Linked DNA regions of Canis lupus familiaris. The main gene of each other region encodes a partner of the protein of the gene in region 7 in a complex. Links are inferred from orthologs where the notes say so. Each region holds a gene or a part of one and is shown on either strand. Other genes may lie near its edges.

Region 1 (3,602 bases), on a different chromosome or scaffold from region 7:
ATGGTTTTTAAAAGTCATGTTAAAAATACTCTCAAGTGAGGAACAGAGTACTTACCCCAATCATTTCCTTCTTTTCTCATACATTGAGACTCATACATTGAAGCCTTTCCAATTACAAATGCAAGGGATTTACCATATTTTTTGGTTAAAGTGTATGTCTATATTCATAACTCTTGGATTGGTTTCCAGTAGAAATTGCTTCTGTTATATAGGTCACTGTAAGTCTTCGTGACCACAACTGGTCATATGATAACCCAAGTCCATTGTACTAATTAATACTAAAGAAGACCAGTGAGGAGGTAGTCCCAGACTATGAGATTACATGCCCAATTTCACCACCAGGTGAGAATCAGCTAGGATTGGACCTCATTTCTCTGATGCCAGGTCAAGTGCTCTTGTCTGCCTTTTAAATGGAGTCCTGGCCCTTTGTTGATTTAATTTTCATAGGAATATTATAGGTTGAGTTGTGGTGTGTTATCTCTAGACTTCCTCTTAAGTTCTTCTAGCCTATGGTAGAGGTGACAGCTAGGCACATAATCTTGGGTGGAAGAGGAATTAACACATAGGGGTGGTGGGGTAGTGTTTTTAAGGTGTTTCGATGCCTCATATATCTTAGGGGCTCCTTTGGCAATGATATTCCAAAGTGTACTTCTGATTCTCTAGGTCCCCAGCATTTTACCATATTTCTTTATTTCTTAGACTGGCATTGCCCGAGTGCCACTTGCTGGAGCTGCCGGGGGCCCAGGGATTGGCAGGGCTGCTGGTAGAGGAATTCCAGCTGGTGTTCCAATGCCCCAGGCTCCTGCAGGACTTGCAGGGCCAGTCCGAGGGGTTGGTGGGCCATCCCAGCAGGTAAGGAGTTGGGGGAAGGCACCAGCTTCTTGTGATTAAAATGAAGGATAGAGAGAGAGGGCCCACAGTTTGGGAAGAGTCCAGAAGAACCAACCTCCGACCATCAGGATGTCAGTATTTCATTGTGCTTTATATGTAGTCCTAGAATCAGATGAGAAGGAAAACTTAACATTGTACATTATTTTGATGCTATTGAAGTAAAGAGATGCATAAAAGGTATTTTTGCTGCCCATTTTGGGGCAGAATATTGCCATGACAACATGAGCTATGCTCTCTTACAGCCTGTTAGTAGTTACACCAACAGTGCTGGTGCTGTCTATGATTTGGACTGGGCCTCCGTAACTCAGGCCTGGTAGATGGGAATGAGCATTTAGGCTTGGTCTTCTCTGGCAGATGGTTTCAGATAGCCTGGTACCTCGGGTTGTAGCTTAGGGGATGGCATGTCTGCTGGGTCTTAACTGAGTTAAGGGAGAGTGGGATGCTGTGTTGTACTGCCCTGTTCTGCCTGACTCTGCTTCTGTGTCCTCTTAGGTGATGACCCCGCAGGGAAGAGGCACTGTGGCTGCTGCTGCCGCTGCTGCCACTGCCAGCATTGCAGGGGCCCCGACCCAGTACCCGCCCGGCCGTGGGGGTCCTCCCCCACCTATGGGCCGGGGGGCACCGCCTCCAGGTGAGGAGCCCTTTAAGGAGACCACAGCTACCTGATGGGAGATAACCTGAGCTGGATTCATGATGAGACATAACATTGACTGAAACTGATGATGAGTTTGGGTAATTAAGCAGGATTACTCTGAGATCCAGCGTGACTGACCATGGAACTAGCCAGACAAGAGCCATAGGGAGCCCCACCTCTTTGGCTCAAGACCCAGTTTCTTAGGAGAGACTGGGAGGGTGGAAGGTCCATCTGTCTCAGAACTTAGTGGACAGCTTTGTTATGTTGCCTGCTACCTTTTTGAGGCAGATACTTGAGCTGTATTCTTGGGCCTTTTCTCTTGTAGGCATGATGGGCCCACCACCTGGCATGAGGCCTCCCATGGGCCCCCCAATGGGGATCCCTCCTGGTCGAGGAACTCCAATGGGCATGCCCCCGCCGGGGATGCGGCCCCCTCCCCCGGGCATGCGAGGTAAGTACGAACAGCAGTGACTCGACTTCTTTAGAGCATGTTGGGATGGGAAATGGAGGGAAGGTTAGATTTTGCTGTACCCTCTGTGCTTCTAGGCCTTAAGCCAAGGGAAGTGAAGAGTGCAACTTTGTCCACAAAGGAAAGAGGGAAAAGGCATTTCTTAAAATCAGCGTTCCCTCCCTCTTAGAGCAATTAGAGTGGTCCTGTACCCAGGGCTCTTCTCAGTGTAGAAGGCAGTGTTCTGGGGGCACTGTGAAATACATTCTGAGAGTCCCCAGCAAAGGCCCTGGGATTGTCTTAGGCCTTTGGTTCTGTTTCTGTTTAACTCCAGTTTGAGAAATGTTGAGATAGATTAGCCCTCTCATTTTATAGATAAGATAATGGGCCCTGAGAGCTTAGCATCCTGCCTCCCAGATTGGTGTTCTTTGCCCCAAGCTATAGTGGCCTTTAAGATAACCCACAGCCACAGTGGGTGACCCCTGTCTCTAGTTCAGGCTTTTTGTTGGTGGGTTTTATAAGCATAAGAAATCCATACATATCCGAGAAGTCCCTAGTTAGTGTGTATGTTATGTCCCTCTGATCCCTTGGTACCTGCAGGGTGTGGGAGGCTGGGGTGGTGGTTGGGGCTGGGGATTTGAGTTGCTGATCAGGCACTGACTAAACTTCTTACTCTTACTTCAGGCCTCCTTTGACCCTTGACCACAGAGTTATGGAAGTAGCTCCACAGAGGCGTGGGCCCGATTGCCACAGACGTGTTTGTTTGTTATGCCGTTGTTCTTGGAGTCTCACAGGATTGTCTGGTTTCCCTTTCAGGGCCCCCTCCCCCGGGAATGCGCCCACCAAGGCCCTAGACTCATCTTGGCCCTCCTCAGCTCCCTGCCTGTTTCCCGTCAGGCTGTACATAGTCCTTTTACTTCCTTGTAGCCTGTGAAACTAGTTTATAATAAACTCTTAAGAATATTGTATTCGGCGTGTCTGTTTAATTTTAGAAAATGAGGTCCTTAATAGAGTCAAGAAAGGTTGCCCTGGAAAAGTTAGCACTAATCTTAGCTGCTTCCCTTATAAAATATTTTAATACACATTCACAGAGATGCACAGCCTCATACTGAGAATTAACAAAATTGGATGAGACATTCCCACGTACCAAACTGGCAAAGATTAGTTTGTTGAAGTAAATACTCATGCTGTTGGTGATGGTGGAGTTAGCAAATCTTTGGAAGACACTCCTTTAGACACTCCTTTTGATAGCCTTTTGTGCAGTACTTGAGATTATATTCATTTTCACATGATAAAGTAGGAGGCTGATACTAAAAATGGTAAACAATCCTATTGAGAGGGGAACAATTTTGGTAGAACTTTCTCCTAGCATCACACACATGCATATAACCTAACCTAACTTTTTTCTTTTTCTTTTAACCTAACAACTTTTGAGTTGGAGATATCCATGATTTCTTCCACTTAAAGTCTGTGTTTAACAAGATAGTTACTGAGTAGCACATCAAGCTTCAAGGGTACAGAAATAGAAAAGGACAGTATTCTAAAGTCTGGGGGAAGACCTACAAAATGCAAAGGGGAAAAAAAGTGATGTACTACTGAGGTGGTAGGAATTTCTTCAGGAATGTAAGG
Region 2 (4,251 bases), on a different chromosome or scaffold from region 7:
GAATCTCTAGTTCTCTAGGATCCCTGAAACTAAGAGGTCTTTTATATTTTAAATTTCATATACCTTGTATATTATATTTGTTAGTAGGCTTTCTCTTCCATTCATCCTTAAGCTTCTAGAAGGGCAGAAGACATTGTAGTTCTGTTTTGTACAGTTTTATACTCAGCAAAATGCCAAATAGTGTGTAGCTAATGCATATTTGTTCCATGAATGAATGATGTGTGTATTACAACTATCTGTTGTATGAATGAATGATGTTTTTTTCTGCTCTCTCCTGTTTAGACTCGTCAGCCTTACGTTCCTGGGATACAAATATGAAACAGACTTAAGGCAGAGAATTTGTTTGCTTTCTATTCTTTGCAAAACAGAAGTGCAAAAAGCCTGGGATCCCTGGGTGGCGCAGCGGTTTGGCGCCTGCCTTTGGCCCAGGGCGTGATCCTGGATACCCGGGATCGAATCCCACGTCGGGCTCCCGGTGCATGGAGCCTGCTTCTCCCTCTGCCTGTGTCTCTGCTTCTCTCTCTCTCTCTGTGACTGTCATAAATAAATAAAAATTTAAAAAAACAAAACAAAACAAAAAAAAAACAAAAAGCCTTAAGGTTTCCTGTGTGATGACATTAGCGGACAGTGACATCTGGTGGCTGCTTATAAGACAAGACAGTTAAGTGTTGAAAGTGGATACAGTCTGTGATAAATTGGACTCCTAGCTACAACAAGGTAAGAATGATAAGGTAGTAGGCATAAAAATAAAATGTGTTTTAAATTTCCACTGTAGAAGGTTTTTTTTCTTTTTAAATGCTGGTTGTGGGTTTTCAATTCACTGGACTTTAAAAAGAAGCACTAGATTCTTTTTTCTCTCTTCTTTAAATAGGCTCCGCACCCAACGTGGAGCCCAACCAGCGGATCCTGAGATCAAGACCTGAGCTGAGATCTAGTCTGAGGCTTAACCCACTGAGGCACATGGGCGCTCTAGGAGTAGATGCTTTGAAAAACGGCTTTTACAAAAACTGCAACACAGTGCATTAGTGGCAAAAAAAAAAAAAAAAAAAAAAATTTTTGGTTCGGTCTGAAAAAAGATCCTGGCTTGAGATGAGGTGCAACTTCATAGCAGAAAATAAGACGATTCAAAGATTTCCGTATTTTGCAAAACCTTCCGGGTTGCAGGAAGGATTTATTCACAAAGCAGGATCCCTTTAGCGTCTGTCTGTCGGAAACTGCCCGGGGAAAGCCGCTACGTGCCCAGACCGCACCACCTGCAGCGGACGGAACCTTCTCCCCGAGAGCTCAGCGCCCGGGAAAGAAGCGATTGGGAAGGAGCGACTCCTGCGGACTGATTGGATCGCAAGTTCGGCCTCCGATTGGTCGAGCCTGTCCGGGCCGCGGGCCGGCGGGGGGAGCGGAAGCGCGCTCTTTCAAACTTGCCGGGCTGACGGCGAGGCCGGCGGGCCACTTCCGGCGTAGCCATGGCGGCCAACGCTACCACTAACCCGTCGCAGCTGCTGCCTCTAGGTAATCGCGGAGAAGGGGACCGGAGGGCTCAGGCTAAGTGTTGGGGCCCGGGCGGCTGCGGCTGAAGTAGCCCTTGGTCGAGTGTTAGGGAAATGTGGGGATGAAGGGCCTCAGTGCTCCGCGGCTCGTCTGCCGGCTCCCGAGTGTCTGCGGCCCCGGGCCGCCCGGGAGCCTCTCTGCACTAGGCACGAGGGCTGGGCGCTCTTGGACAAATTCAGACGCCTCCCACTGCCTGCGGATAGCACACACACCAGGAGGAGATAGAGCGCTCCACCTGTAAGCATCACGCCGAGTGATAACGAAGCCAGCTAACGAGGCGTTCAAACTGCGGTCCGAACACAGAGATAGTGACAGGAAGAAATCTCTGGTGGATACGGTTGTGCCTCTTCCGATATTTTGTAGCCAAAGAGTTGATGGAGTTATCGGAAGTGGCCTTGTTTTGGAAGTTTTCATTCTTTGATTCCACCAACTCTTTTTGAACGCTTGCTATGTGCCAGACATTGCCCACTGAGGATAGAGTCCTGGGAAAACAACCACAGTTGTTTCATGGGGCTTAGACTCTTAAAAAAAAACATCAAACAAACATTTTTATTCATTCATGAGAGACACCCAGAGAGGTGGAGAAGCAGCCTCCATGCAGGGAGCCCGATGCAGGACTCGATCCTAGGACCCCAGGATCACGCCCTGGGCTGCAGGCAGGCGCTAAACCGCTGAACCACCTGGGCTGCAGGGGGTGGGGGGGGCTCAGATGTTAATTATATATTAATTATGCATTTCGTATGTTAATCAAAATCACTTAAAATAACATTAAACCACAACCGTGATGGATAAACTTCAACAAAGGAGAGGTAAGTGGTAAACAGGACGTTTTTGTTTATGCAACAGAGATAACGTACCGTAAAATCTCTAAAGTTTTTGAATGAATACTTTCTCTGGTTTATCTTTCACAGTAAGTAACTAACAAGTGCCAGTAGGCATTCCAATATTTGTTGAAGAAATGAACAGGTAAAATAATCTTTTTTTCTCCACCCCCCCACCCCTCTTTTTTTTTCTTTAAAAAAAAAAAATATATATATATATATATAGAGCTCGTGGACAAATGTATAGGATCAAGAATTCACATTGTGATGAAGAGTGATAAAGAAATTGTTGGCACACTTTTGGGATTTGATGACTTTGTCAGTATCCTTTCAAAAGGTGGTGGTGGTATGGGTTTTCCTGCAGTACTTAAGAACAGAAATAAGAATATGGACAGTCAGTACGTAACTGGTTATTGTATTAGAAATTTATTCACCTCTTGATAGCGTTTTAAGAGGTGTGTGTACTGAAAAAAGATAAAGTTCCTACCGATTACTAGTATTTTGCTCTGGAGCCATTGTATTAAACGTTGTAATTAAAATGGAGTAAAGATAGAAGCCAGAGTAAATTCAACCTGGTATATGTATTTTTCTTAACACCAAATTTCAGATATGGTACTGGAGGATGTCACTGAGTTGTGAGTAGTGTTAAAAATTAAAGAATTGGGGGGAATCTCTCCTTAAGTCAATTTTAGTATTAATGAGTTTAAAATGATTAATGAGAAAACATTGCCTGTCAGAAATACCTTAAAGATAGAAATTTTATCTACTGACACTGGTAAAATTGGATCAGTTATTACCGGATGTAATTATTATGTTATTATTAATGACTGGTAGGGACTTAGTGGAGACTGAGCTTTGAGATAAAAGATACTAAAAACAGCCAAGGATGTTTGTGCTCAGACAAATCAAGGCATTAAACTTAAGATATAAATGATAGCTCCATTATATTAGTTTTAAAGATCACAACCAGTGTCTGCTTTCAAAATTGAGTTGATTACAGATTGGTTTAATGGGTAAGGGATTAGTAGTAAATAATAGTAAAAAGGTGAGGCTAGTAAACATTCCATTTCATATTTGATCTCTTTGGCCAGTTTTAGCTTCTTTTAGTTTTGATCCTAGTGGATGTGGATCTGAGGCCAGTCAGTTCACTGTGTTGCCTTTGGTCATCCAGTGGATAACCTTTGTCTCTGAAAACTACTGACATAATTGCTCAACCTCATATTCATATAATATAAGAATAACTTTTTTAGGGATCAGAATGTTGGCTTTGATTATCATTGTTTATCTTGACTCTTTTATTTCTTCATTTAGTGAAATCACACCAGAAGGAAGAAGGATCACTAAATTAGATCAAATTTTGCTAAATGGAAATAATATAACAATGGTAAGGTACAGTAAAGCTGGGCGTTTTTTTAGATGTAGCCCATTTTTGTGAGGCAGAGATTACAGATTACTTGGCTTGGTTAAATAAATGTTCATGGCCCAGTGGGTTTAAGTTGGGAATGAGATGCTCCTGTGATCAGGGCTCTAAAGCTGAGCTACTGAACATGACAATAGGCTTAAAGATTAGTTTGCTTGGGCTTTTTAATCTTTTGGTTTGCCAAGAATCATTGTTTAGACTCTAAGTATTAATTGACGATGTTGGGATTATAAACAGAAGCAATGACCTGGAGAAAATGGGAATGTGGGGGAGGAGCAAAGAGGCCAGGTATCTTTGATGGGTGAAAAGGGGTTTTTAGATGATGGGTGTGGTGGTGGTATTAATAAGCTCTTTTTCCTTCTCTGCAGCTAGTTCCTGGAGGAGAAGGTCCTGAAGTATGAATGGATTTCCTTACTCTCTTTTGTCCTATAATGACAACAAAATCGATTTTTTTTTAAGCCT
Region 3 (3,674 bases), on a different chromosome or scaffold from region 7:
GGCAGCTGGGGTTTGGGAAACGCTTGGTGTCTGGTAAATGCTTGGTGTTGGCGGATGAATCCTCCCATTGACTCTGCCCCCTTTCTGCTGCCTCAGGATCTCCGGCGGAAAGCGGCTCGGCTGGTGGCTGCCAAGTGCACACTGGCAGCCCGTGTGGACAGCTTCCACGAGAGCACAGAAGGGAAGGTGAGGCACAGCAGGCATCTGTGTGGGTCTGTCTCCTCTACCAGACTTGTCATTGTTCAGGTCATCACTGAGTTTACCTCTATCTCTCTTGGCAGACTTGCTCCATGAAAGTGGGTATATCTTGTCTTGTGCAGTCTGGCACAGTGTCCAGGCTTCAGTCTCTTTCTCTCACTGCCCCCCACTTTTCCTCTTGACCACTGGTTGAGGTTCCAGTGGGGACAGCAGTGAGCACTCCGACCAAAGCCATGCCCCTGTGGCATTCATGTTCTGGCTGGGGGCGGGGTGAGGACACGGGCCATCTGTGGTGTGTCCAGGGATGCCACATAAATGCTAGGGTGGGATCAAAGGGTGCTGGGCTGGTGAGGGAGGTTGAGTTTAACCCGGACGTTGGGGAGGGCTTTGCTGCAAAGGTGAAGGTCTAATCTGCACCCAAGTGAAGTTGGTGCAAGTGAAGCAAGTTGGTGAAGTGAAGCAAGTCAAGTGAGTGCCTGGGGGAAGAGTCCTAGGAAGGAGAAGCAGCCAGTGCAATGGCCCTGAGCCTGGCCCACAGGAAGCCAGGGAGAGGAGGCTGTGGGATGGGACAGGTCACGCAGAGCCTGTGTGCCCCAGAGAGACCTTGGCTGTAGCAGAGATGCTGAGGGGTGCGATTTGGGGTCTTAACTGAAGGAAAAGCCCAGAGGGAGAGAAGCCAGAGGTGAGGCTCCCAAGTGACCTCCCTTTACCAACTTGTGCAGGCCGGAGCTGGAGGCTGGGGAAGAGGTGCAGGTGTGCGGTTTGGCCCTGTTGCACTCGGGGGCTGCCCTCCTTCTCCCCCATCAAGGACAGAATTATATGAGGGGTGCTGGGAGAAGTCTGAGTCTCCCAAGAAACACAGGCCCCCCAGGCCTGGGAACAGGTGCCACACACAGGTAGAGGGATGGGCAAGGCTCAATGGGACCCCCTGCCCTCCCCAGGTGGGATATGAGCTGAAGGATGAAATCGAGCGCAAGTTTGACAAATGGCAGGAGCCGCCGCCCGTGAAGCAGGTGAAGCCCCTGCCTGCACCCCTGGACGGGCAGCGCAAGAAGCGAGGTGGCCGCAGGTAGGCCCTGAGGGCCAGTGGGGGTGAAGAGGAGGGGAAGGGGCTTGTGACCCCAGCTGACCCCTGGCGCCCCTCCCCAGGTACCGCAAGATGAAGGAGCGGCTAGGGCTGACCGAGATCCGGAAGCAGGCCAACCGCATGAGCTTCGGAGAGGTCAAAGCCTTAGTCTGGATGTCCCCACCACATTTCTTCTCGGCTGAGGCAGCACCTCACCTCCAGCCTCCCCCCACATCCATGTACCCTGAAGGGACCTATGCAGCATTCAGTGTTGGCCCTGTCCCCCGACCCCCACCCTTTTGTACACACCTCCCTGTCGGGTTGGATCTGCCCAGGGAGGGTCCTTCCTCAGGCTTCACCTCTGCCAGACTCATTACCCAAGCATCATCCTCATGGTCCTGCAAGAACCAGCTCAAACACCCTCTAGTCAGCAAGCCCAGTTTTGGTTGTTGACACTGCATACATGAACACTCACAGCTTCCCTCAACTGTCAGCTCAGGGAGCCGTAATAGGACTGGACTCCTCACTGGGCCCCAGCAGGCACCTGAATCGGGTCAGTGCCTGGGGCATCCGGCTGATGAAAGATGGCTAACTCTTGGTTACCTTCCCCTCCCACCAGATCGAGGAAGACGCCTACCAAGAGGACCTGGGCTTCAGCCTGGGCCATCTGGGCAAATCAGGCAGCGGGCGGGTACGGCAGACACAGGTGAACGAGGCCACCAAAGCCAGGATCTCTAAGACACTGCAGGTACAGGCGGGGCCTGAGTGGGCCTGGGAGTCTGGGAGCTCCAGCAGGAGAGCCCAAGCCAAGCCCAAACATCCTGTCCCCTCCCCTCCACACAGCGGACCCTGCAGAAGCAGAGTGTCGTGTATGGCGGGAAGTCCACCATCCGTGACCGCTCCTCGGGGACTGCTTCCAGTGTGGCTTTCACCCCTTTGCAGGTACTGTGCACCTGAGTCAGGAGGCCCAGTTCTGGGCAGGCTCTACTCCCAGCTTTCTGAGTGGACCTGGGCAAGCCCCTTCCTCTCGCAGGGCTGTTGTGGACAGCCTTGTGTATCAGTGAAGCCCCTGAAAGGTACAGCTCAGTTCCTGGTGCTCAGGCTAGTGGGAGCAGAAGGGAAAAGGTCTGCCTGCAAGTGCAGGCTGGCTTTAGGATCGGGCTGGGACTAGGGGTGACTACTGATTCCCCATGACCTCAAGTGGGCTCAGCTCCTCCCTGAGGTGCTAAGTGGCTGGGACAACCTCAGGGCTCCACGGAAGAAAACTCAAAGGTAGCTGGCTGGGAAGCAGAGGTCCCAGCCCAGCCACTCATGCACAGGACAGAGCCTCTGCATCTGTCCATTTCTCAGCCTACCCACAGATAGCGCCAGCACGCCCCATAGCATCGAGTAGAATAACTGAGTTCATTGGCAACATCAGCAAGGGTGTACTGAGCACCTAAGTTTCAGGTGCTGTTGCAGGCACTGGGGATAGAGCCACAAGCACAAGACAGCAAGCCTTGCCCTCAGGGAGCTTGTGGGGTGGCAGGGGTCAGATAAGATATGGAGCCTGGTGGAAAGTGGAAAGTGCAGGGAAGAAAGGGGAGAGGGAGTGAGGCATCGGGTTGGACCCGCCCAGGGAGGCCTCAGCAAGAAGGTCAGAATTACCTGTGGAAGATACTGGGAATGGTGCCAGCCAGTGTGGAGCCCCCACAGCTGGACGCCGTGTCACCAGTAGGCTTGGTGTAATTTGCACGAGGGCCAGAGGTGAGCCACTTAGCTCTGTGACTCAGTTTCCTTATTCAGGAACCAAACCCGGTCAGCTGTTCTGAAACATTGATTTTTTTTTTTTAAGATTTTTATTTATTTATTTATTCATGAGAGACATACAGAGAGAGAGAGACAGAGACACAGGCAGAGGGAGAAGCAGGCTCCATGCAGGAGGCCTGATGTGGGACCCCATCCCGGGTCTCCAGGATCATCAGGCCCTGGGCTGAAGGCGGCGCTAAACTGCTGAGCCACCTGGGCTGCCCAACATTGATGCTTTTAAAATTGCTTAGAGAACTTGATAAAAATTCAGATGCCCAGGTCCTCCCCACTCTTCCCTCTTCCCAGAGCCACAGTTAGAATCTCCCCAGGTTTGGGGTGGGGGCAATTTGGTAATTGGAAAACTGTTCTATCACCTGGAGCCCGGAACCATTGAAAAGGGCCTCCCCGACATGTCACAATTCTCTTACTGGGTAAGGGGGCCTTGTCAGGGGCCAGCCCATCTCCCCACCCCATCATTACCTCATTCACCTGCCCAGGGCCTAGAGATTGTGAACCCACAAGCAGCTGAGAAGAAGGTGGCTGAAGCCAACCAGAAGTATTTCTCCAGCATGGCCGAGTTCCTCAAGGTCAAGGGCGAGAAAAGCGGCATCATGTCCACCTG
Region 4 (4,468 bases), on a different chromosome or scaffold from region 7:
CTCGCTCTACTTTCGGACATCTCTGCGTTGTAATTATGTACAGAGGACCTGGTGGGTCCAGGGTGGGGGTGTTCGCTCTATCTTCTGTCCTTTAGTTCTCCTTCTACAATGTTCTTGCACTCATTTATTTAAGGGGACATGCCTTGGAACAGGAAATGCCCCCCCCCCCCAACCATCCTCCTTGCTCTCTTTCTTCTTCACCACCTTCCTGTGTATTCTCAGGCCTCTCCTGCTTTGTCTCACCAGGGTCCCCACCTTTTACATTGTTTCCCTCCAGCCCCTATCTGGGGAAGGGGTCTTCCCTTGAGCTCCAGGGGGTGGAACCCAATGTTTACATTCTCTTCTATCTCTGCTCCTATCCTATGCAGCGCTTTGAGGAATCAGAAAAGAACCTGCTGTTGTACCTGGGCCCGTCTCCTGCTTTGTTATTTGATAGAGGGGGTTAGAATAAGGACTGGGCAGGGGGTGGGAAACAGTGGAGCAGGCCAGGATCCAGGCATCTACCGAAGCTGTGGGCTGGTCTTGGCACGTGGGTACCTCTTGGCCTTTGGTCCACCTTTCAGTCACTCATCAGCTGCTGAGCTCCTGTTCCTCTTTTGCCTGGGATCTGCTGCCCCCATTGTTAGCCTGGGGCCCTCTACGCACCACCTGCAGCACCCGGATCTCCTTTCCAAAGTGCTCATGCAATTCCTGGAAGCTGGAGGGGATACCGAGGGTGGCAAGAAAGCCACAGTCCTCTGGGGGTGAGCTGGGCTCTTGGCCAGCTGCCTGGCACAGCTCCCGGTACTGGGCCTCCAGGGGGGGTAGTAGCGCCACCAGCCGCCTCCAGCTCGCCCCAGCTAGTGCCCACAGCCAGGCTCCCAGCTCTTCCTGGTTTTCTGCTGCCAATTTGTAGGCACGCCCAGCTGTTCCCTCAACCCTAGGGGTCAGTATGGTAAAGGCATAGGGTTCTGTGGCCCCAAGGCGTGGCTCCACCCGACAGTTTTCCAAGAGAATGAGGCCCAGGGGTGTGTGGTCCGCCTGGTTCTCCAGGTAGAAGAGGAGGTTTCCCCGGAGGATGAACCAGCGGCGTTGATAGCTGATATTTCGGGCTCCTTTCTTCAGCAAGATGCCCTCGCGGTCTGGAGCTTTTCTGTATCCACGGAAGAAATTGAGTACGGATTTCTGGTGCAGTTTCATGGTAGTCCAATCTGGGAGTAGACCTTGGGGGCAGGAGAGAGAGCTGGTCCTAGCCTAGTGGGATTTAAGAGTGTCCTCAAGAGTACAGGTCTTGCTCCCCCCCCCCCCCCCCAGCACTGGGGCCGACACCTCCCACCTACAGTTCTCCCCTTTGGGCTAGTTTACAGACCCTGGGCAGGGGCCGCTGGCCTGGACCCCTATTTGCTTGCGCCTGTAGTTGGAGAGACGCACTGTTGCCCTTTTCCAGGCCTACCTGAAATCAGGGCACAAGAAACTTCGGCCTGGGTACTGGACACAGGTACCACCGTCACCTTTCCGAGACGGCTCTTCCCACCTCTCAAACCAGGAACTCCCCAGGGGATAGGTGTCGGGTAAATGACTTCCCCCGGGTCCTAAAGAGACCTGTGTTCGGCAAGTGCCCCGGAACCACCCCGGGCCTCCAGGCTGGCCATCAGAACCGGGTCTTGCCTCGGGGAAAAGAGCAGGGCCGCACCTCGGGGTAGGAGTGGACTGGACTGGACGCTGAGTGGAAAGGAAGGGTTTCCAAGAAGATTCTGGTGAGGGGCGCAAAGCCCTTGGGCAACCCTGGGGAAAGTGATTCAACTATGGAAAGGGAAACGGGCCATTGTCCCACTTTGCTCCTCCATCATGGTCCTGGGCGCCCCTTTAAGTAGAGTGCGCTCTGCTTTCTCCCCAGAGCCTCTGACTGCTGTCGGAGGGAATCGAAACCGCATCCGGCCATCTCTCTCGTCTGATCGGGGCCTAGGCGTTCGTACGTCCCCTGTTCTCGCCATTGTCGCCCCACACTGATCACGTCACTCTGGGTTGGGCGGGGAGGTGTTTCCCGCTCACTGTGTACTTCCGCCCGCTTCTCCACTTAGTCCCCTACCCCGAGTGAAGCCACTTCCGGCCTTCTCCAGCGCCTTCCGCAGTTCCCTTCCGGGTGATGGCGGCCGCTGCCCCGGACGTAGCCGTGGGGAAAGCAGCTCTCTTTTTCCTTCCCCGCCGGCCTCCCGTCGATCTTTAGGTGAGCGCGCGCCGGTGGGGTCCTGGAATCCTCGCGGTTCTGCCGCCCCTCTGATTTGTACACTTAGCCCGGGACAGTTGGGGGTCACCCCTCGGAGCCGGGAGTTCGGCGCGGGGAAGAGGGGGTCGGCCAGGACGCCAGGTCCTGGGTCCGCCCGGGCCCCGCGGGCTCTGAGGGAGCTGGGGGTGTAGGAGCCGGTGTCAGCCCTCAGAGCCTCGTCGCACCCAGGACTGCGGGGGCCAGGAATGGGGGGGCATGTGTGGGGGGTCTGTCTCCTTTCGTCAAGGGTGGGGGTTGCCCGTGGGAAGCCCCTCCGCGCGTCCGCCTCTCCGGCCCCGCACCAGCAACTCTTTTGGACCAAACCAAGTCCCCGGGGCCTCCTGGCGGCCGACTTCCCTTTCGGCCCCTGACTCTGCACCCTCTCTTCCCAAGCTGGATCTAGTGCGTACCAGGTGATTATTTGTTGTGCTGGCGGCCCTTCGGCGGTGAGTAGCCTCGCCCAGTTCCCTTAATCTGCACCCTTTCCCTCGCTCAGCTTGGCGAAGGCCCCTCTGTGCAGGCATGCCAAAGAGGAAAGTGACCTTCCAAGGCGTAGGAGATGAGGATGATGAGGATGAAATCAGTGTCCCCAAGAAGAAGGTGAGGTGGCCAGACTCCTGTATTCTGGGGAGGAGTGAGGGCAGGGAGAAGGAACTGGAGGCTAGAAGAGAAAGAAAGCTGGTGGGGATAAAGCGGTGAAAGGTCTCGCTTTTTCCATGTTCTCTGGGAAATGGGTTTGGAGAATTTTCAGTCTGAGAAAGCTTTGAAGAAAAACCTTCCTAGAGTACTTTGAGGAATAGCCGCAAACCTGCATCTCTCAACTTGCTGGCTCCTCACAGCTGGTGGATCCTGTGGCTGGGGCAGGGGGTCCTGGGAGCCGCTTCAAAGGCAAACACTCTTTGGACAGTGATGAGGAGGATGATGATGATGAGGGGTCCAGCAAATACGACATCCTGGCCTCAGAGGATGTGGAAGGTGAGCTAAACCCAAGAATTGTTGCTGCTGGAGGAACAGATGGGGTTTCACGGGATATGGGGTGGAGAAGGCTCTTGTCTGTTTTTGCTTGCTCAGCCTGGGCCACCTGTGTCTTTGGTGCAGGTCAGGAAGCAGCCACACTCCCCAGTGAGGGAGGTGTGCGGATCACACCTTTCAACCTGCAGGAAGAGATGGAGGAAGGCCACTTTGATGCTGATGGCAATTACTTTCTGAACCGGGATGCTCAGATCCGAGATAGCTGGCTGGACAACATTGACTGGGTGTGGCCCAGGGGTTGACTTTGGCTGGGGACCTGGAGGCAGCAAGTGCTGGGCTTGTGCCCTGCTCACGGTTTGTAAGAGATAACCGACCCCCCCCCCCCCACCCCGTTTTCATATCACAGGTGAAGATCAAGGAGCGGCCACCTGATCAGCGCCCACCTTCAGACTCAGAGGAAGAAGACAGCCTGGGCCAGACACCAATGAGTGCCCAAGCCCTCCTGGAGGGCCTTCTGGAGCTGCTGTTACCCAGAGAGACAGTGGCCGGGGCACTGAGGCGTCTGGGGGCCCGAGGAGGAGGAGGTGGCAAAGGGGGCAGCAAGGGGGCTGGGCGGCCTAGTTCCCCTCAGCGCTTGGATCGGCTCTCTGGGTTGGCTGACCAGATGGTGGCCCGGGGCAACCTCGGTGTATATCAGGAGACAAGGGAACGGTTAGCCATGCGGCTGAAGGGGTTGGGGTCCCGGACTCAGGGACCCCCTGACCCCACACCCCCACCCTCTCTGGACATGTTTGCTGAGGAAGTGGCAGAGGGGGAGCTGGAGACCCCAACCCCCACACAGAGGGGAGGTAAGATCAGAAGGCAGAGGAGGGGTGTTGGGGCAGGAGGTAGGGCACTTGAGGGCCAGATGGCTTTGCCTGTTGTTTTAGAAGCAGAATTGAAAGGAGATGATGGTCTGGTGGACGTGATGTGGGAATATAAGTGGGAGAACACAGGGGATGCTGAGCTGTATGGGCCCTTCACCAGCACCCAGATGCAGGTAAGCCCTTTCCTGCTTCTACCACTACCCCCCTTCCCTTCTCCCATGAGTCTTTCCCCAGCTCTGCTTTCCTTTCCTGCAGACCTGGGTGAACGAAGGCTACTTCGCAGATGGTGTTTATTGCCGGAAGCTGGACCCTCCCGGTGGACAGTTCTACAACTCCAAACGCATTGACTTTGACCTCTACACCTGAGTCTGCTGAGGGCCCAGTT
Region 5 (4,319 bases), on a different chromosome or scaffold from region 7:
GTTCTTCTTCCTAATTCGAACCTCCAGCATCGGAGGTTTCCAGAAGAAATCCTAGGCTAAGGAAAGTCCCTCTAAACCCACCAGGTCCAGCCCACCTCAATCCTGATGGGGAAATCGAGGCCGAGAGAGAGGAAGGGACTCTTCCAAATAGCTGACTTTCAGATTGGAACCCAGAATTCCCAGTGTTACTACTGCAGACTCTCCCTCTTAGGTAGAACCACCTATTACAGAACAAGCCCAAAGCCTCAGTTCGTTAGCAACGGGCATGCGCTCTATCGACGGAGACCGCAGCACCTGCAGCTTGGGCCAGACGACACAGCCACGTCAACCTGAGACCTCAGGGAAGGGGAGGCGGGGAATGAGGGCTCCCGCGGTGCCCGTGCCCCTGCCGGGCCTCACCCGCAGCTCCCGGCCCCGCGGCAGCTCCTCAGTCTGGTGGTGCCAGCCGCTCCAGATGGTGTAGGTCGCCGAAGCCAGGGCCAGGGCCAGCAGAAGCAGAGGCAAGAAGTGCGCCCGCGGGAGCAGGCGGCGCTTGGGCGGGGAGGGCGGCTCCAAGAGGCCACGTTCCCCGAGCCGTAGCCGGGACCGCCCGCGGCCCCCGGAAGGCATGGCAGCTTCGCCCCGAAACCGGTCCCGGACCGCGGATAGTTTAGGCCCAGCCAAATCCCACCCCATGGAATCACCGAACCAATAAACACGAAGAGCGGCTGCACCATCCCACCCACCCTCGGTCAGTGAAACCAATGGCGACCCTCACTCTGAGAACACGCCTTCCTGTCTCCCTGGGGCTTTGGGGTTGGTTCCCCTGAGGGTTGCACAACCCAAAAGGGTAGTGCGAAAGGGAGAGGCTCCGCCTCAACGGAGGAACGGAAGCCAATGAGCAATGTTTGATCCTGAAAAACGTTGGACCAAGGAGCAGGTCTCCGCCCCTCCCGTAGGAAGGCAAAGGATTGGTTACTCGAAGTCGGAAAGATCAATAGACACGTAAACGAACCGACACCGATGGAAAAGGGGCGGTGCCCGTCCCAGAAGCGAGGAGCCGATTGGCTACACGGAGGCCGCGCCCCCGAGGGCGGAGCCGGCGGGCTTTTGGAATGCCGTGTCCTGTCCCTTCTTCAGCTTGTGCCGCTCTACAACGAAACGATTTGAGTCGGACCCGCTTTATTCTTCTCTCCATTGTCTTCTCTCCATATGGTCCTGAAAGACCCTGAGCTACTACGCAGTGCTTCTACCCCACGTCTGCGCGGGGCCGGCGCGGATTGCCACGGCAACAGGCCTCGCCCACACCGTGCAGGTTGGGATTGCGCAGGCGCCGACGGAAGTCGGCCACAGGAAACGGAAGTCCCGCCTGTAGCCCTCTCTTCAGAGGCAGGAGCAACGCGGGGAAGACGGAGCTGATCTGCGAGCGCAGCCGCTACCACCATGTGAGGCCCGGCGGGAGTGGGGTCGAGGGCGTAGATGTGGCCGTTTGCCGGTGGTGGGCGAGGCGGGATCGGAGGCAGAGGTTTTAGGGGTAAAGTACGCACCGTTCTGACGAGTTTGAGGATGGGCATGGGGCCTTTTACGGGTCCTGAGTTCGAGGGAAGGCACTTGATCAGTTAATGAGCCGGGATTTCCCCGATAATGAGTCTCGCTGAAATGGATTTTAAGGGGAAGCAAAGAACCTGGGAAACGGGAGTGCGGAGTTTTAGAAATAACGGTTTGAGGTACGGGACTTACCCGGACAATTTGAGCTGGAGAAGTTCACCTCATTCGCGACTTTTTCGGCTCACGAATCGCCTTAATGATTTTCCTGATTTGGTATTCATTCAGCAATTATTTATTGAGCACTCATGTATTAGGCACTGCTTTAACTACGTGAGATACATCAGTGACTGCGACCCCCATCCCGCAAGAAAAATGCCCTGCTGCAGCTTATGGGTGTGGGAAAAGGCAGACAATGAACACACCGGTGATAAAAATGTAAAGTGTATGGCGTGTGTTAGGTGATCAGAGCTAAGTGAGTAAAGAAGCAAAAGAGCAGGATCCAAACAATGGGGAGTACTAGTTTTGAGAGAAAGTAACTCAATAACCAGTGCAGGACACATTGAGAAGGCAGCAGTTGAGCAGAGACCTGAAGAACCTGAGAACCACAAAGATACCTGGGGAGGTATCCAGGCAGAGGGAAAACGAAGGGAGATGCCCAAGGTGAAAGTCTGTCTAATATCTTATATATTTTTTAAAGATTTTATTTACTTGTGAGAGACACAGAGAAGCAGTATCCCCACAGGGAGCCCGATGTGGGACTCGATCCCAGCATCCCTGGGTCAGGATCTTTTTTTTTTTTTTTTTTTAAGATTTTATTTATTTATTCATGATAGACATAGGGGGAGAGAGAGGCAGAGACTCAGGCAGAGGGAGAAGCAGGCTCCATGCAGGGAGCCCGATGTGGGACTTGATCCCGGGACTCCAGGATCGTGCCCTGGGCCAAAGGCAGACGCTAAACCGCTGAGCCACCCAGGGATTCCCCCTGGGTCAGGATCTGAGCCGAAAGCAGATGCTCAGCCATTGAGCTACCCAGGCGCCCCTTGCCTAATATCTTAAAGGACCACCTTCAAGGCCACTGGCTGGAACAGAGAAGGATGGGAAGATGCCAGGCATTGTAAAAACTTTGGGTTTTACTTTTTACACAGAGATGGGAGCCATGGGAGGGTTTCGAAGAGTGAAATGATATGACTTAGATTTTGATACAACCTCTGGGACTGCTGTGGAGAACAGACGGTCAGCGGCATGGGCTGAGGTAGGGAGACAAGTAAGGCTCTCAGGAGAGAGATGATAGAGGTTTAGGCCATGGTAAGAAACAGATTCTGGGTATATTTTAGAGGCAGATGACAGAATTTGCTGACATTGAATGTAGGATGTGAGAGAGAAGAGTCAAGTTGATATCAGGGTTTCTGCTCAAGGAACTAGAATGATGGAGATGAGGAAGGCTGTGGAAAGAGTAGGTTTGAGTGATTGGGAGATCTGGAGCTCAACTGAGGATGTATACGGTTGGAAATGTCTATTCAGCATCCAGCTGGTGATGCCATGCAAGAGGGACTGAGCAGGGGGGTGGGTGGGTTGGGGAGACATCATGTGACCACCCACGCTCTAGCTCTGGGCCTCTCACCTACGGGTTCCATGCTTGCCCCTCAGGAGCCTCCTCAACAAACCCAAGAGTGAGATGACCCCAGAGGAGCTACAGAAGCGGGAGGAGGAAGAGTTTAACACGGGTCCGCTCTCTGTGCTCACACAGTCAGTCAAGAACAACACCCAGGTGCTTATCAACTGCCGCAACAACAAGAAGCTCCTGGGCCGTGTGAAGGCTTTCGACAGGTAAGCACCTGGGTCCTGGAAGGTGTTCTGTCTTGGAAATGCAGACACAGTTCCAGTGTGAGGAACCCAAATACAAGGTTTTCAGAGTCCTGGGGCATAAGCATATTCAGACCTCAAAGTGCAATGGTGTCTTGTTGTCCTTCCAGCTGTGCAGTACAGTAGTGATGGGCATGTACTTGGGAGCCAGGCTTCCTGGGTTTGTGTCTCGACTCTGCCTCTTAGCAGCCATGAAACCTTCAACAAGTAACTTTATCTCTTCCATTCAATGGCAGTAATTCTGGTGATTGCAGAGATTCAGTGACTTAATACATGTGATGTGTAATACAGTCATTAGAAGTACAGCATCTGGCACCAGGAAGCTCTTATTAATCAGGTTTTGCAGTTACGATATAAAGTACCATGCCCCAAAAGAAAAAAATAAAGTACCATGCCCAGTACTTTTTTTAGGCTCCAGAGACACAGCAATGACTGAAAGAGGACTCCTATACTTAAGAGAGCTTATGCCATAGGTAGGGAAACCAACAGCAAGCACACAAACAATGTGTCATAAGAATAGTAAAGGCAGGTGAGAGTGTGGAGTGCTGGGAAGGAGGTGTTGTCCTAGACGGTAACGCTAGGGGTTCCATAGGAAGAGACCGTGATGAACAGACCTAAATACAATGAAGGAGGAAGCCAGGGTCTGAGTGTTTCAGCCAGAGGGAACAGCAAGTGTTATTTCCTCTCTCGGCCTCAGTGTCCTTGTCTGCAAACTGTGCGTCATAAAAATACCCCTCATAGAACAGTTGTGAGGATTAAATATTTCTGTAGGAAGGGTACTTGGCTCAGTAGCTAACATGATAAATGCTCAATAAACATAAAACCTGCAGCCTTCAGTTAGCATTTGGGAAGTGGTATGGCGAAGTGTAAGTCTAGAATGTTTTTGCCACGAGCTGTTACATGACCATGAATAAGTCTTTTCACTTGGA
Region 6 (4,272 bases), on a different chromosome or scaffold from region 7:
GGGGTCCATGCACCCCAACCCAAGGTTGGGCCAGTCACACCACCAGTGCCCCTGCACACGGCTCAGCTGTTCTGGCGATGTGACCAGGACACTGGTCATCATCACACATGGCCCGGATGAGGAAGTCCCTGACCCCACTCACATTCCGGCCTCCTGGAGACCCATCTCATCACCCTGTTGGGAGCAGAAGCTGGACACCTGGGACTGTGAGGTTGCCCCCTCGAGGGCCTGGGGCCTTCTCCACCTCTTGCTCTGGATCAGGAGAGCTGGAAAGAGGGCCTGCTGGTGAACCCAGGCAAGCATTTAAAAAGCCTCCATGCCCACTGGAGATTAAGTTGAAGAGGCTCAAATGAGAGAACCGGGTGTTGGGTGTACAGCATGGCAGACAATGGCCCGAGGCGCAGGATCTACACAAACACACACACACAAAGTCTAAGCAACACCCAAAACCTTTACTGTGGCCCCACAGGCATGTGGTGGGCCAGGGTCTTTGCTGTCCACTGGCAAGCTGTCTGCTTCAGAGACCACTATCCCGAGCCCTAGCCCAGGCTGCTGGCGCCTCACACTGGCAGACCGCTGGCTCCCTTTCCAGGGCGGGGGGCCCCAAGCTCCACTCCACTCCAAGTGGCCAGTGACCCCGGCTGCCCTCCTCCACCGCATGGTCAGGAAACGCCAGCCAGGCAGTCTCTTCTCTCAAATCTCTGCACCTGGGGCCTCAGGTGTGTTGTTCTTGTTCCGGAAATGGTCCCTGCTCCGCTTCCTGCTACCATGGAAGCCAACAGTCTCCACCACTGGGGGCCCCACCGCTGACCTAGCATGGGCAGCCCCCTGTGGCACGTCCACTTCCTGTAGCCCCCCGTGGGGGCTGTTCTCTTCCTCAGCCTCTGGGCTCCCAGGCCCTGCCAGGTGGGCCAGCTCCACAGGGCCCTCGCCCCCTGCTGCTCCCAGGTCCCCAGGGGCACCCCTGCCTGACTCTCCTGCCTTCCTCAGGGCCCTCTTCCTCTCAGGCCTGGCCTCGCCAGCTCGGGCCGGTTTGGTGAAGATGACTCTTCCCTCCCCACAGCTGGAGGGATCCTGGTTGAAGGACGGCATGTAGTCTCTGGGGCCAGCCAGGCTCTGGGAGCTCAGGAAGGCCAGGGCGGCAGCCTGATTGCTCTGCTCACTGACCTCGGCTACGTTTTCCAGGCTGTACTTGGTCCAGCGCTCAGGGTGGGCCATGTAGTCAGGGATGGGGGGCAACTTCGTGGGGGCAGGGCTCTGACTGGCCCTGCCCGGGCCCTCTCCTGGACGCTGGTGTGAGGATGCTGGTGGCTGCATGAAATCCCCATGGTCACCCGGGTCTTGCCTGGCTGCGTCCTCCAGGCAGTCAAAGATGTTGCGGCTGCGCCAGGAGAAGGTGGAGCTCGTGCCTCTCAGGTGGAAGGGCTGTACTGAGGCTGTGGGGAGGCCTTTTGGAGGCAAAGGGGTCTCATCGGGGTCTGAGTCCCCCTGGGCCTCCCCAGATAGCACCCCCGGGGGCAGAGCTTCCATCTCAGTACCGCCAGGCAAGCTGAAATCGGAGTCCGAGTCACTGAGAGAGACGGTGTCGGAAGGCAGAGCGTCATCCTCTGTTCCTCGCTCGGCTTCCAGGGGCTCTCCTACCCCTACCTCAGACATGTGTCCCAGGGCCACCACACCTAGACCAGAACAGCCCAAAGAGTTCGTTTCTGAGGATTGCACCCATTTAGGACGGGCCCCTCCTATAAACCCACAGTCCCTGGGCAGGCGGCAGGGCCAGAAGGAAGAGCTATGTCCTACCAAACAAAGGACAGAGATTCCCACACCCGCCCCCCCCTCAACGTCTCACCTCCGTTGTCTGATGAACGTCTGTGCAGACACCAGAATTCTGGTGGGTGAAGTCCCGGCAAAGGCGCCCGGTGGCCTCAGTCCCGGCTCCGCTTAGCTGCTCAACTGTAGCGGGCAGAAGGTGGGAAGGGCAAATCGTCAGGGAGCACCAGGGCAAAGCGGTACCGCGACCCCCAGGGGGCGGTCCTGGGTTTCCGGGGCCCAGGCCCAGGCCGGCCTGGACGCAGACCCTTCGGGAAGATCTTCATTCAGCCCTCTTGAGCTAAGTCTAGGGGCCCGCTGGGGGTTAGGCAGGCAGCAGCCAGGGCCCAGCCCGGGGGCAGCAGCAGGCTCTGCGCTCCACGACGGCGCTCGACCAGGCGGCCCGTCCACGAGCTGCTCGGCACAGCTGCGCCACCTGCCTGGGCAAGGCAAGGGCTGCCCCTGCCTGCCCAGACGCCCCGGGACTCCACGCGGGTCTGCAGCCGGGGCCTCCGCGTCTGACCGTCAGGCCCGCGGGGAAGTGGGGGGTCAGCGGCCGCCCGGGGCATCCTTGCGGGCAGGGCAAGCCCGCGGCTCCGGCAGCAGCCTCTCCTGGCACGTCCCCGCGAGGGAAGGAGCTCCGGAGGGCGGGGCGCCGCCGCGACCTGGGGGGGCGGCCGGGCCGGCGGGCGCCCCGGGGTCGGGCACAGCGCCCCGCGACAGCGAGCGGCCGCGGCGGCTCCCGGGCTTCTCCGCGGAGGCCGGCGGCTCGGCCGGGGCAGGGCTGGGGCGCGCTCGGCCGCCCGTGGAAGCCGGCGCCGGCTGTCTCCGCCCCGGCGGGGGCCTGGCCGCACGCGGGCCGCGGCTCACCAGGCTCGGGGAGCCACCAAAGACGCGAAACACCTCGGGGATGTGGGGCGAGGAGGCTGCGAAAAGGCGACCTCTCTCCCGCGCCACAAGCCTACCGGCTCAAAGCCGCCGGGCCGCCTCCATCTTTCGCCGCGCTCGGCCTCCTGGGAAACCGAGTCTTCCGCCGGCCCGGCGCCTCGGCGTCCGCACCTGAAGAACTACACCTCCCACAAGGCACCGGGACGCTACTCCCGAGGCCTGTCGGGTCCCGTAGCCCCTGCGCATGCGTCCTCGCTTTTCTCCCTAGCCTCCCCCCTCCCCGGAAACGTCGGCTCTCCTTCGCGCAAAGAGCCGGAATTGAGGAGGGAAAGGAGGAGGAGGAAGAGGCAGCACTGCGACTCCCAGAATGCTCCAGGACTAACGGCCAGCGCCGCGTTCCCGGGGCCCCAGCGCCGCCTGCTGGAAGTCGCGAGCACAGCGGCCGCCTCAGGCCGGAAGTGCATCGTCGCACGCGGCATCGTCGCCGGGTGCTTCCGGTCAGGCCGGAAGTGCGGGCCGCCCGCTCGTGGGTCGGGGGAGGGGGAGGGGGAGGGGGTGGGGGGGGGCCGGGTTCCGTCTGAGCGCTCGGCTCGCGGTCCCGACGGCCCGGCCGGTGCTGCCCACCTGACGGCCGGTCTGGCCGCGTCTCTCGGGGCCGCGGTCCTGGAGTGCTCGGGAAGCCCGCGGACCCCTCGTTTCCGGGGCCGCCCAGCATGGCCTGCGGCAGCACCGGGCAGCTAGGTCGGGATGCCCCAGCCCCCCAGCCCCGCCTGCAGCTGCAGTGTGCCGCTGTGCGAGGATGCCCCAGGGACCCCGCCCTCCTGGGGGCCCCCCAGCCCCGCCAGCAGCTGCAGTGTGCAGCTGTGCGAGGGCGCCCCAGGGACCCGCCCTCCTGGGGGCGCCCCAGCCTCACCTGCAGCTGCAGTGTGCCGCTGTGCCAGGGCGCCCCAGGGACCCGCCCTCCTGGGGGCCCCCCAGCCCCGCCTGCAGCTGCAGTGTGCCACTGTGTGAGGATGCCCCAGGGACCTGCCCTCCTGGGGGCCCCCCAGCCCCGCCTGCAGCTGCAGTGTGCTGCTGTGCGAGGGCGCCCCAGGGACCCGCCCTCCTGGGGGCCCCCCAGCCCCACCTGCAGCTGCAGTGTGCTGCTGTGTGAGGATGCCCCAGGGACCTGCCCTCCTGGGGGCCCCCCAGCCCCCCAGCCCCGCCTGCAGCTGCAGTGTGCCGCTGTGCGAGGGCGCCCCAGGGAACCGCCCTCCTGGGGGCGCCCCCAGTCTCGGTCTCCCCAGCACAGACTGGCTGTGCTGTGCCTGCAGGCCAGGATCCCCAGGGTCGTGCAGGGGCAAGTAAGCAGGGCTGCTCCTTGGGCCACTCTGTTCTCTCAGGGACCCACCCTGGCACACAAGGTGGAGGGGTGTGGCAGGAGGGGCAGACCTCACTGAGACCTGATGACCCCAAAAGTAGGGCTGGGGCCAGTTTCCAAAACAAGCGCCAAGGGAGGCAGCTGTCAGCCCTCCACATGAATCCCAGCCAGGCCCTCATGGCCTCAAGGGGCCAGTTCAGCATACACCAGGTCAGTGC
Region 7 (3,674 bases):
ACTGCCCATGATGTCCACTCTATACCGCTTGGCCAATCAGCTCCTGACAGACTTGGTAGATGATAACTACTTCTATCTCTTTGATCTGAAAGCCTTCTTCACGTCCAAGGCACTCAATATGGCCATTCCTGGAGGCCCCAAATTTGAACCTCTTGTTCGAGACATCAACCTCCAGTAAGTTGGAGATACTAGGGATTATAGGCACCTCGGATTGAGTAAAATCTAATCTTGATCCTTGAGATGCCATTGTAGTTTCCAAACTCCCCAACTAGTCTGCTCATCCTTGATAATGTACCCTAGGGATGAAGACTGGAATGAATTCAACGATATTAACAAGATCATCATCCGGCAGCCTATCCGCACTGAATACAAGATTGCTTTTCCCTATCTGTACAACAACCTTCCACACCATGTCCACCTTACCTGGTGAGAGCTAGAGCAAAGGGGGAGAGGGGGGAGAGGATATTGGGCCAGGGCAGGAGAACCTGAGTTTATTACTCTTCCTTTATTTTAGGTACCACACTCCTAATGTTGTGTTCATCAAAACTGAGGATCCTGATCTCCCAGCTTTCTACTTTGATCCTTTGATCAACCCAATTTCTCACAGGCACTCTGTCAAGGTAAGACCTTAGTTCTTTTTTCTTTTTTTTTAAGATTTTATTTATTCATGAGAGAGAGAGAGAGAGAGAGAGAGAGAGGCAGAAACACAGGCAGAGGGAGAAGCAGGCTTCATGCAGGGAGCCTGATATGGGACTCCATCCCAGGTCTCCAGGTTCAGGCCCTGGGCTGAAGACGGCGCTAAACCACTGAGTCACCCGGGCTACCAAGATCTTAGTTCTTTGAAGAGAAATTTGCTGACTGTAGCTGAAGTGTTACTAAATAAAAATTGAACTACCTATTTAGTGTTCCCTTTGAGCTTTGATATGTCAGTAAAGTGCTTGGTTTAAACTAAGTTATTTGTATAATCTGGGTTTTTGTGATTGGGACTTTCCATATAGTAATTTCAGGGCTGTTTGCATTATGAATTTTTTCCAATCCTTTTATTAGATATATTTATTAGTTCACATACCGTACAACTCACCCATTTAAAGTTTATAATTCAGTGGTATTTAGTTTATTCACAGAGTAGTTTAGCTATATCCACAGACAATTTTCCAACCTTTTCATCATCCCAGAAATTCCCATACCATTAGCAGTCGCTGTTTCCCTCCCCTAGTCAACTCCTAGTCTTTCTGTAGATTTGCCTCTTCTGGAGGTTTCATATAAATGGGATCTTTCAGTATGTGGTCTTTTGTGATTGGCCTTTTTTTTTTTTTTATTTATTTATTTTTTTTTTTTTTGGCCTTTTTTTTTTTTTTAAGAGTTTATTTATTTATTCATGAGAGACAGAAAGGCAGAGACATGGGCAGAGATCTAGGCAGGCTCCCCACGGGAACCTGATATAGGACTCGATCCCAGCACTCTGGGATCACGCCCAGAGCCAAAAGCAGACACATCCCTCTGATTGGTTTGAAATAATGTTTTTGATGTTTACCCATGTTCTATAGTGTTCTTAACAGACCTCCCTACTCTAGCTTAGTTTTTGTGTTTACTTAACATATTGGGGCTCCTTTGGGAGGCCTTTGGTGGTGAGCCCGTTAGGGTGTGATGCTTGCTTTCTGCTTGGCCCTAGCTTGTTCTCTACTCCCTTGGCCCTTTTTGCCCTGGCCCTTTAGGGCTTCTCTTGTCTGGCAGCCCAGTTTCCATGGTAGATGGCACCACTGTGCTCAGCCCCAGATAATTTCCCTCTCATCCCAGTTCTCTGTTCAGTTCAGTGGGAGCTGAACCCTTGGGGGTTGTTCTTTCAGAGCCAGGAACCATTACCTGATGATGACGAGGAGTTTGAACTCCCAGAGTTTGTGGAGCCCTTCCTGAAGGACACACCCCTTTACACAGACAATACAGCCAATGGCATTGCCCTGCTCTGGGCCCCAAGGCCCTTCAACCTACGCTCTGGTCGTACCCGCCGGGCCCTGGACATCCCCCTTGTCAAGAACTGGTAAGACTAATACCTGGGGAGATGATAGTAGATGTATAGGAGAAAAGAATTCCAACTGGGTTGACATTCAGTCTTTACCAGAGGGATTAGAAGGAGAAATGGGCTAGCTCTGGTTGGCTAATTTTCTCAGGTATCGGGAGCATTGTCCTGCTGGGCAACCTGTGAAAGTGAGGGTCTCCTACCAGAAACTTCTTAAGTACTATGTGCTGAATGCCCTGAAGCACCGGCCCCCTAAAGCCCAAAAGAAGAGGTAAGGTGCCTGAGGGTCATTGCTCAGACTTCTTTTGTTCCAAATTTAACCAAGAAGCTAATTCTTACTTTTCCACTTATTCCCACCCCAGGTACCTGTTTCGTTCCTTCAAAGCTACCAAATTCTTTCAGTCCACAAAGCTGGACTGGGTAGAGGTGGGGCTTCAGGTTTGCCGCCAGGGCTACAACATGCTCAACCTTCTTATTCACCGAAAAAACCTCAACTATCTGCATCTGGATTATAACTTCAATCTTAAGCCTGTCAAGACCCTCACTACCAAGGTGTCTGCATTGTACTTTAAGGGTCTTCTGGGCTTGAGGGATGGACTGGTTTTGCTCTGTCCTCTGAGGAAGGCATACATCCAGTTGGGACCATTACTGATCAATGTTTGTTTGTTTGTTTGTTTGTTTTTTCTATTCTTGGCACCTTCTCCAGGAAAGAAAGAAATCTCGTTTTGGAAATGCTTTCCATCTGTGTCGAGAAGTTCTGCGTTTAACCAAGTTGGTGGTGGACAGTCATGTGCAGTATCGCTTGGGCAATGTGGATGCCTTCCAGGTGAGGCCAAGTATCCCTGATCCCTGCCCTAGGTAGGGAAGCTGAATGAAGCCTAAGCTGATCATGGAGCTGGCTCTAGCTTAAAGCCTGATGGAGTCATTGTGTTGCAGCTGGCAGATGGGTTGCAGTATATCTTTGCCCATGTGGGGCAACTGACGGGCATGTACCGGTACAAATACAAGCTGATGCGGCAGATTCGCATGTGCAAGGACCTGAAGCATCTCATCTATTACCGCTTCAATACGGTTGGACCCTGCCCTCATACTCTCACTTTCTTCATCCAGTTTGTTCATTTGTTCATTCTTTCATTCATTCATTCATTCATTCATTCATTCATTCATTCATTCATTGTGTTTGGAAGGCAGAGGGAGAGAAAAAGAATCTTAACTAGGTCCACACTGAGTGTGAGGCCTGATATGGGGCTCAATCTCATGACCCCGAGTCTCAGATCCATTTTAATTTTTATGTCTAGTCAGCGTTCCTTCCGGGGACCAATTTAGAGAAAGGTTCTGAGCGTTTCATTACTTGCCCTCACCTTATTAATTGTAACACTTTCCATTGAAGCCTGCCTTTAAATAGAGAATCCCAGTTACTGGTTTCTGTGTTAGAATTTCTCATTTATTCCATTTTTGATGTTGAGGTCCCAGAGTTTTGCCTCTTTGCCCCTCTGTTGCCTGAGATGTGTTCCTCTTGACCCCATCTGTGTGTGCAGTTTTTTCTTGCTCTCTAAATCAATTGCTAACCTAAGTTCTTTATTACTGCTTGGGACCACAGGGCCCTGTAGGAAAGGGCCCTGGCTGTGGCTTCTGGGCTGCTGGCTGGCGAGTCTGG

Evidence for each region.
Region 1: PRPF8 (region 7) and SNRPB share a complex: the UniProt entries of both Homo sapiens proteins name them as parts of the U4/U6-U5 tri-snRNP complex. The link is inferred for Canis lupus familiaris from reciprocal best matches to the Homo sapiens genes PRPF8 and SNRPB.
Region 2: PRPF8 (region 7) and LSM5 share a complex: the UniProt entries of both Homo sapiens proteins name them as parts of the U4/U6-U5 tri-snRNP complex. The link is inferred for Canis lupus familiaris from reciprocal best matches to the Homo sapiens genes PRPF8 and LSM5.
Region 3: PRPF8 (region 7) and PRPF31 share a complex: the UniProt entries of both Homo sapiens proteins name them as parts of the U4/U6-U5 tri-snRNP complex. The link is inferred for Canis lupus familiaris from reciprocal best matches to the Homo sapiens genes PRPF8 and PRPF31.
Region 4: PRPF8 (region 7) and CD2BP2 share a complex: the UniProt entries of both Homo sapiens proteins name them as parts of the U5 snRNP complex. The link is inferred for Canis lupus familiaris from reciprocal best matches to the Homo sapiens genes PRPF8 and CD2BP2.
Region 5: PRPF8 (region 7) and SNRPD2 share a complex: the UniProt entries of both Homo sapiens proteins name them as parts of the U4/U6-U5 tri-snRNP complex. The link is inferred for Canis lupus familiaris from reciprocal best matches to the Homo sapiens genes PRPF8 and SNRPD2.
Region 6: the proteins of PRPF8 (region 7) and TSSC4 are in contact, whole or in part, in a cryo-EM structure (PDB 7PX3), measured with the Homo sapiens proteins. The link is inferred for Canis lupus familiaris from reciprocal best matches to the Homo sapiens genes PRPF8 and TSSC4. Residues at the interface, in NP_006436.3 of Homo sapiens: Thr2087, Asn2088, His2089, Ile2090, Tyr2091, Val2092, Ser2093, Ser2094, Asp2095, Lys2108, Leu2111, Lys2112, Glu2184, Thr2219, Pro2220, Thr2224, Leu2225, Leu2262, Leu2263; in NP_001284587.1 of Homo sapiens: Pro153, Asp154, Tyr155, Glu160, Arg161, Trp162, Thr163, Lys164, Tyr165, Ser166, Leu167.

The regions. Positions count from the first base shown.
Region 1 is NC_049245.1:19,133,416-19,137,017, forward strand, and holds the end of SNRPB (small nuclear ribonucleoprotein-associated proteins B and B'), read left to right. Parts: intron 1-699; coding exon 700-852; intron 853-1,383; coding exon 1,384-1,522; intron 1,523-1,850; coding exon 1,851-1,976; intron 1,977-2,657; coding exon 2,658-2,668; 3' UTR 2,669-2,939; downstream 2,940-3,602. UniProt on the Homo sapiens protein: Plays a role in pre-mRNA splicing as a core component of the spliceosomal U1, U2, U4 and U5 small nuclear ribonucleoproteins (snRNPs), the building blocks of the spliceosome.
Region 2 is NC_049235.1:44,955,605-44,959,855, reverse strand, and holds the start of LSM5 (U6 snRNA-associated Sm-like protein LSm5), read left to right. Parts: upstream 1-1,351; 5' UTR 1,352-1,463; coding exon 1,464-1,509; intron 1,510-2,595; coding exon 2,596-2,691; intron 2,692-2,976; coding exon 2,977-3,004; intron 3,005-3,680; coding exon 3,681-3,753; intron 3,754-4,157; coding exon 4,158-4,190; 3' UTR 4,191-4,251. UniProt on the Homo sapiens protein: Plays a role in pre-mRNA splicing as component of the U4/U6-U5 tri-snRNP complex that is involved in spliceosome assembly, and as component of the precatalytic spliceosome (spliceosome B complex).
Region 3 is NC_049222.1:103,832,220-103,835,893, reverse strand, and holds part of PRPF31 (U4/U6 small nuclear ribonucleoprotein Prp31), read left to right. Parts: intron 1-96; coding exon 97-186; intron 187-1,139; coding exon 1,140-1,267; intron 1,268-1,347; coding exon 1,348-1,420; intron 1,421-1,883; coding exon 1,884-2,012; intron 2,013-2,107; coding exon 2,108-2,206; intron 2,207-3,549; coding exon 3,550-3,674. UniProt on the Homo sapiens protein: Involved in pre-mRNA splicing as component of the spliceosome. Required for the assembly of the U4/U5/U6 tri-snRNP complex, one of the building blocks of the spliceosome.
Region 4 is NC_049227.1:17,900,155-17,904,622, forward strand, and holds the start of CD2BP2 (CD2 antigen cytoplasmic tail-binding protein 2), read left to right. Parts: upstream 1-1,668; 5' UTR 1,669-1,736; intron 1,737-1,876; 5' UTR 1,877-1,951; intron 1,952-2,060; 5' UTR 2,061-2,206; exon of another isoform or gene 2,207-2,363; intron 2,364-2,494; exon of another isoform or gene 2,495-2,638; 5' UTR 2,639-2,658; intron 2,659-2,741; 5' UTR 2,742-2,767; coding exon 2,768-2,845; intron 2,846-3,084; coding exon 3,085-3,220; intron 3,221-3,343; coding exon 3,344-3,501; intron 3,502-3,623; coding exon 3,624-4,065; intron 4,066-4,146; coding exon 4,147-4,256; intron 4,257-4,338; coding exon 4,339-4,449; 3' UTR 4,450-4,468. Other genes in the region: sesquipedalian-1-like, read right to left, coding at 571-1,179. UniProt on the Homo sapiens protein: Involved in pre-mRNA splicing as component of the U5 snRNP complex that is involved in spliceosome assembly.
Region 5 is NC_049222.1:110,602,203-110,606,521, forward strand, and holds the start of SNRPD2 (small nuclear ribonucleoprotein Sm D2), read left to right. Parts: upstream 1-1,373; 5' UTR 1,374-1,422; coding exon 1,423-1,424; intron 1,425-3,174; coding exon 3,175-3,354; intron 3,355-4,319. Other genes in the region: QPCTL (glutaminyl-peptide cyclotransferase-like protein), read right to left, coding at 400-675. UniProt on the Homo sapiens protein: Plays a role in pre-mRNA splicing as a core component of the spliceosomal U1, U2, U4 and U5 small nuclear ribonucleoproteins (snRNPs), the building blocks of the spliceosome.
Region 6 is NC_049239.1:46,929,595-46,933,866, reverse strand, and holds TSSC4 (protein TSSC4), read right to left. Parts: upstream 2,965-4,272; 5' UTR 2,677-2,964; intron 1,951-2,676; 5' UTR 1,847-1,950; intron 1,677-1,846; 5' UTR 1,657-1,676; coding exon 694-1,656; 3' UTR 432-693; downstream 1-431. UniProt on the Homo sapiens protein: Protein associated with the U5 snRNP, during its maturation and its post-splicing recycling and which is required for spliceosomal tri-snRNP complex assembly in the nucleus.
Region 7 is NC_049230.1:45,766,755-45,770,428, reverse strand, and holds part of PRPF8 (pre-mRNA-processing-splicing factor 8), read left to right. Parts: coding exon 1-174; intron 175-300; coding exon 301-426; intron 427-514; coding exon 515-620; intron 621-1,847; coding exon 1,848-2,038; intron 2,039-2,168; coding exon 2,169-2,288; intron 2,289-2,379; coding exon 2,380-2,569; intron 2,570-2,723; coding exon 2,724-2,843; intron 2,844-2,953; coding exon 2,954-3,088; intron 3,089-3,617; coding exon 3,618-3,674. UniProt on the Homo sapiens protein: Plays a role in pre-mRNA splicing as core component of precatalytic, catalytic and postcatalytic spliceosomal complexes, both of the predominant U2-type spliceosome and the minor U12-type spliceosome.